Callithrix jacchus: one gene and its partner. The protein of the gene in region 2 interacts with the protein of the main gene of each other region in a pairwise test. Links are inferred from orthologs where the notes say so. Each region holds a gene or a part of one and is shown on either strand. Other genes may lie near its edges. The genes, in order: USP19 and SIAH2.

Region 1 (3,821 bases), on a different chromosome or scaffold from region 2:
GGTAGGCTTCCTGACTGAGGGAAAAGTGATATTAAAGCTCAGAGGTGTTGTCACAGGGTTCTGGGCACATGGGGTGTAAGTGTGAGGCAAATTTGTAAAGTGGCTAAGCTGAGCATGGCTTTGAGTGCCAGAAAGAGGGATCATTAACTCCTGGTGGCCCTCCTGCCCCATCTAGTGTCCTCAAGCCTGAGAGTTTGCTGGTTGGCTCTGAGGGCCCTGAGAGCCATCAGAAAGCCTGGAATGGGCTCTTTGGGCATGAGCATCTTGTCTCCCACTCTCTGTGCAGTCACCCAGTGCCAACTATACATCCACAGGTCTCCATCACTTTTGACCCATTTCTTTATCTGCCGGTGCCCTTGCCACAAAAGCAAAAGGTTCTCCCCGTCTTTTATTTTGCCCGAGAGCCCCACAGCAAGCCCGTCAAGGTGAGGAGTAAGCCCCTACCCTCTGGGCTATCACAGAGAATGTGGCCCACCTCCCTCACTGGCTGCCCTTTTTGCCACAGTTCCTGGTGAGCATCAGCAAGGAGAACTCCACTGCGAGTGAAGTATTGGACTCCCTCTCTCAGAGCGTTCATGTGAAGCCTGAGAACCTGCGTTTGGCAGAGGTATCTTTGTCCTTCCTTGGACTATTATATATGTGGACGTGTGCGTACTCAGCATAGACGTTTACAGTCATTGACATCTACAGACATACACATGGGCTGGGCACAGTGGCTCATAGCTATAATCCCAACACTTTGTGAGGCTGAGGTGAGCAGATCACTTGAGCCCAGCAGTTTGGGACCAGGCCAGGCAACTTGGCGAAACAAGAAATCTCTACAAGAAATAAAAAACAAGTCTCTACAAGAAATAAAAAAATTGGATGGGTGTGGTGGGTATGTGCTTATAGTCCCAGCTACTTCAGAGGCTGAGGCAGGAGGCTCACTTGAGCTCAGGAGGTGGAGGTTGCAGTGAGCAGAGATCGACTGCATTGCAGCACTCTAGCCTGGGTGACAGAGTGAGACCCTGTCTCAAAAATAAATAGATAAAACATAAAAATAGACATACACATGAATGTGCCTGTGACTGCCCAAAAACAGGCAATGTGCTGTTATTTGAGGCATGTTTGAAACCAGGCATTTTGTCTGTACAACAGAAGTGCCCTTAGTTCCTAGCCATTATCTGGGTTTATTCCCCTTTGTGGTGGTGGACCCCAACTGCATTTCCCTTTTCAGACAAGGAGCTTGAGCTGCAGGACTATCACTATGTTTACTCTGCTTCTCCCTCTATCCTACTACTGCTTTCCTTTTATCCCAGTTCTGTGTGCTAGCTCTCTCCAGGGGTTCCTAACCTTTAGCCTGACAGTGTCGGTTTTCTCAGGGATAAGAGTGGGGAGGAATCTCCTTGAATGTGAACCCTCCGTGACAATATGTTGCAGTCTTATAAGGCCATGCTAGTTATAGTAGGGTAGAGTCCCTCAGTGTGGAGAGCTGGTATTGTTGATATCTGCCCAACACCTGGTCTTTCAGGCCCTCTGATGCACTAGGCTCATTATGGCCTTAGGCACTGAGATGGATGCCAGCGGAGGCATAAGCCTATTTGGGCCTCCAGACCTTACTGCTGCCCATAGACCCAAGGCAGGGCCAAGTTTTCTTACACTCTGGGGCAGGACTAGGGAAAGGGCTTATTCTTATGTGGGATCTGTGTGTTCTCTGTCCCCAGGTAATTAAGAATCGTTTCCAACGTGTGTTCCTGCCCTCCCACTCACTGGACACTGTGTCCCCATCTGATATGCTCCTCTGCTTTGAGCTGCTATCCCCAGAGTTGGCTAAGGAGCGGGTAGTGGTGCTAGAGGTGCAACAGGTGAGTGGGGGCCAACCTGATGGCACAGGGCCCTGGTGGGTGGGGCACTCCTGCCTGGTCTTGCTGAGCCAGACGACCCACCCTAGCGCCCTCAGGTGCCCAGCGTCCCCATCTCCAAGTGTGCAGCCTGCCAGCGGAAGCAACAGTCGGAGGATGAAAAACTGAAGCGCTGTACCCGGTGCTATCGTGTGGGCTACTGCAACCAGTGAGGACCCCCGTGGTCTCCCCCACCCTTCCTTACTACCTTCTATGTGCCACCCTGCCCCTTCCTGCCACACCAAGGCACATATGCTTAAGATATACCTGTCACCCTACTTTACCAGGCTCTGGGGGAGGCAGGGCTGGCATACCCAGTTCCAAGGGACTATGACGAGCCCCCAGGATGGGGCTGAGGGCCTATCCTTGTCTTCCTCTTCCCTTCAGGCTCTGCCAGAAAACCCACTGGCCTGACCACAAGGGCCTCTGCCGACCTGAGAACATTGGGTACCCCTTCCTGGTCAGTGTACCCGCCTCACGCCTCACTTATGCACGCCTCGCTCAGCTGCTAGAGGGCTACGCCCGGTAAGTGCCCAGTGGTTGGACTAGAGTGGTGTAGGTGGGGACAGAGATGCTAGATGGGCTGGTCAGGAATCTTATTTGCCTTGTTGTCTGTTGCTAGGTACTCTGTGAGTGTATTCCAGCCACCCTTTCAACCTGGCCGCATGGCCTTGGAGTCTCAGAGCCCTGGCTGCACCACACTGCTCTCCACTGGCTCCCTGGAGGCTGGGGACAGTGAGAGGGACCCCATTCAGCCACCTGAGCTCCAGCTGGTGACCCCTGTGGCTGATGGGGACACAGGGCCTCTCCGGGTATGGACAGCCCCTGACCGGGGTCCTGTGCCCAGCACCAGTGGAATTTCTTCTGACATGCTGGCCAGTGGGCCCATTGAGGTTGGCTCCTTGCCTGCTAGCGAGAGGGTGTCCCGACCTGAAGGTAAGATCCGGTGAATGACTCCGGGAGCTGGGAAAGAAGAGACAGGAGGGTTGGGGGGGGCTCTTGTTTAGGTCCTGATGGGCAGGGAAGATTTGATTATCATGTTTTCACACAGCCGCTGTGCCCGGGTACCAGCACCCAAGTGAAGCTTTGAATGCCCACACACCCCAGTTCTTCATCTATAAAATTGACTCATCCAACCGAGAGCAGCGGCTAGAGGATAAAGGTGTCTGAGGCAGCGGGTGGGAGCCATGGTGTGGTTTGAGTTGGTTGTTCTCCACAGCTGCATGACCTCTCTCCCTGCCAATCTCCAGGAGACACCCCACTGGAGCTGGGTGATGATTGTAGCCTGGCTCTTGTCTGGCGGAACAATGAGCGATTGCAGGAGTTTGTGTTGGTAGCCTCTAAAGAGCTGGAATGTGCTGAGGATCCAGGCTCTGCTGGTGAGGCTGCCCGGGCTGGCCACTTCACCCTGGACCAGTGCCTCAACCTCTTCACACGGCCTGAGGTGCTGGCACCCGAGGAGGCCTGGTGAGAACAGGGCAGCAGGCAGATAAGGGGGCAGGATGGAGAAGAGAGAGACTTGCTGGTCCTGACCCAACCTCTGTCCCCTCCAGGTACTGCCCACAGTGCAAACAGCACCGTGAGGCCTCCAAGCAGCTGTTGCTATGGCGCCTGCCAAATGTTCTCATCGTGCAGCTCAAGCGCTTCTCCTTTCGTAGTTTTATCTGGCGTGACAAGATCAATGACTTGGTGGAGTTCCCTGTTCGGTGAGCAGCGGACCGTGGTGACTGTGGGCGGAGCGTGAGGACCAGGGTGGGCATCCGGAGCACCTGCTGCTTGTCTCACCCCTCCCTGACTGGACCTGACCTGCAGGAATCTGGACCTGAGCAAGTTCTGCATTGGCCAGAAAGAGGAGCAGCTGCCCAACTACGATCTGTATGCTGTCATTAACCACTATGGAGGCATGATCGGTGGCCACTACACTGCCTGTGCACGCCTGCC
Region 2 (2,682 bases):
GAGGCTGAGGCAGGTGGATCACTTGAGGTCAGGAGTTTGAGACCAGTCTGGCCAGTATGGTAAAACCTCATCTCTACTACAAATACAAAAATTAGCTGGGTGTGGTGGCATGGGCCTGTAGTCCCAGTTACTTGGGAGGCTGAGGCAGGAAAATCATTTGAATCCAGAGGCAAGGTTACAGTAAGCTGAGATCACACCATTGCACTCCAATCTCTGTCTTTAAAAAAAAAAAAAGAGAGAAGAAAAGAAAAGAAATTGGGACGCTGAGGTAAGCAGTCATCAATCCTCACTAAGCATTTGGCACTAATCTCTGAATTCTTTTGGGAGTATATGGTTGGGACTGAGGGAGTGGGTCACCTTGGATCAACCCCAGCACTCTGGATGTCAGCACTGGCCAAGTGTCTTCCTTCTCACTCGGTAAAGCAGGAGCAATCCTCTTCTTGCGCAGCTGCTAACACTGTCAGACAGAAATGACAGCCCTGGGAGGAGACCTGTACCACCGACAGTCAGTGGTTCAGATGTGTGAGCCTGGACCCCAGTGCTGTCATGGACCCATGTCATGACCTTGGCCCAATGACTGTTTCCTCAGTGAAAACAGTGAAAGTTCCAACCCCAGATGCAGTGGTAAAGGTTCATTGCACTTGCACACAATTGATGCTCAATAAATACCCATTATTCAATTAGGGAAATAAAGCACAACATCCATTTTTGGAAAATATTTATTAAAAAACTAGTGAATGTGGCAGAAAAACAAAACCAACACACACCTTTAAATAGCAAGCATATGACACACCGGTTATAAAGCTTTTCCAATCTACTGATCTAGTCTTTCACACCAGCTACTATCAAGTAGGGCTTCTGAGGGAAGCCATGTGTAAACGAGTCCCCTGTTCTAGTGGTGAGCAAAACTAATTACATGAGAACTAATGGCCATATGACTTGCTTTCTAGGCAATCCACCCAAAACACAAGTGAGTGACCAGATCTCAGGCGTGTGTTCATGTGGATCTGTAGTTCTAGTTTTAATTTGAGGGTCAGGGGAGGTTAGGGAATGAAACAGTAGAAAGACAAACAGTATCGGCAGAGGGCAATCTTAAAGCACCTTTAAAATCTGGACCCTTTCCCACAATTTAGCCCAGTAATTTTCAAACATTGCTGTTGAAAAGAATCACCAGATGAGACTGTTAAATTGGCAGGCTCCCTAAATCTGCAATTTTAAGATAAGCACTCCGGGTGATTCGATGTCTATTAGCCATCCAGTTTGAGAAATACTGTTTAAAATGCATTAAAACAATTCCTACCTCCCACAAACAAAAGTAAAGGAATCTGCTGACAGTCACTGTGCTTTTGTCAATGACAAGGGACCAATATGGGAAGGCAGGCAGGAAGGGGCCTCCCATTCCTAACACACTGATCTACAGAAGCCCTGTGCAACAGCCTGTCAAATGTTGTTTAGGATGTACATAAAATTTAATAAGAGAGTTGTTTTAGATCACAGAACAGCCTCTAAATCACCAACAGGCCAACCCCATTCATCCCAGGTTAATGAACTTTGTGGGGTCAATGCCAGATGGGAAACTGCTGTTCAAACAAAACACAGGTAACTGTTGGTCCTGACTTGTGAAGACATATGGAATAAAACCTTTATAAAAACCTTTATTAAACATAGAGCACTATGCTCACATAATTTGGATGGGTTACGAAAGCCACATCATGGACAACAAGTAGAAATAGTCACGTTGATTCCAAGGTTCCCATTATCTGCAAAAAGATGTGCTATGGCTGTGTCGAAAACCAGGCAGTCACTGTTCATGATGGCCGCAGCCACACCATCGTGAATGGACCGGGGTGTGGCCTCCCAGGTCAGTCTCCGCCGGTTCCCGTTCAACTCCAGTCTGTAGGCAAAGTTCTCGGCTTGCTTGCGGGTGCCAATGAGCAAGACGATGGCAAAAAACTGCTGGTGGCCTTCGTACTTCTCTTGTTTCTCCAGCACCAGCATGAAATGATGGCCGAAACATGACTGCATCATCACCCAGTCGACAGCCCCTGGCAAGTTAATGTCTGTAGCTAGAAAGACGATGTCTTCTCCCTGAAGGGTGGTAATGCTCTTGTGGGCGTGCATGAGATGGGACATCACAGCTTCCAGGGACCCCTGCCACTTGCAGGAAGCGCCAGGACAAGGGCAGGAGTAGGGACGGTATTCACAGATGTCTTCGTGTTCTGGCTTCTCTGTATGGTGCAGGGTTAGGGAACAGCCCGTGGTGGCATACTGCGGAAAAAGAAATGCATTGAGCCATGGGGCCTTCTCAAAACTTCTGTTGGTGCAACCCTCTATAAGTACTTAACTACTCTGTTTTCCTGGGCTTAAACTGTGTTCCTAACTACTTTTGCTCAAAACAAGTGAAATATTCAAGATTAAAGGTCTCAGTCTCTCTTCATCATTAGTGTTGTCATGCATAAAATCAAAGGTATTTCCTGAACCAGAAGTAGGCTGTTTTCCATGACCCTGTTCTACTGTCAAAAGGACAAGAACTAAATTCTTTTACGTCGCGCATCTCAAAATTGTTGAGCAAGTCCTGTAAAATCTGGCCTTCCCCATATTTTCTGTGAAGCTGTTTTTTAAAGAATTCAATTGCTTGGGGCTGGGGATGGGGTTGGGCAAGGAATATTATATTATCTCCAA

What was found.
Region 1: the proteins of SIAH2 (region 2) and USP19 interact in a two-hybrid assay, tested with the Homo sapiens proteins (2 studies listed by BioGRID). The link is inferred for Callithrix jacchus from reciprocal best matches to the Homo sapiens genes SIAH2 and USP19.

The regions. Positions count from the first base shown.
Region 1 is NC_133516.1:31,732,778-31,736,598, reverse strand, and holds part of USP19 (ubiquitin carboxyl-terminal hydrolase 19), read left to right. Parts: intron 1-314; coding exon 315-425; intron 426-505; coding exon 506-607; intron 608-1,703; coding exon 1,704-1,844; intron 1,845-1,930; coding exon 1,931-2,049; intron 2,050-2,267; coding exon 2,268-2,405; intron 2,406-2,502; coding exon 2,503-2,816; intron 2,817-2,931; coding exon 2,932-3,042; intron 3,043-3,130; coding exon 3,131-3,347; intron 3,348-3,433; coding exon 3,434-3,586; intron 3,587-3,692; coding exon 3,693-3,821. UniProt on the Homo sapiens protein: Deubiquitinating enzyme that regulates the degradation of various proteins by removing ubiquitin moieties, thereby preventing their proteasomal degradation. Stabilizes RNF123, which promotes CDKN1B degradation and contributes to cell proliferation.
Region 2 is NC_133518.1:34,522,363-34,525,044, reverse strand, and holds the end of SIAH2 (E3 ubiquitin-protein ligase SIAH2), read right to left. Parts: intron 2,269-2,682; coding exon 1,711-2,268; 3' UTR 706-1,710; downstream 1-705. UniProt on the Homo sapiens protein: E3 ubiquitin-protein ligase that mediates ubiquitination and subsequent proteasomal degradation of target proteins.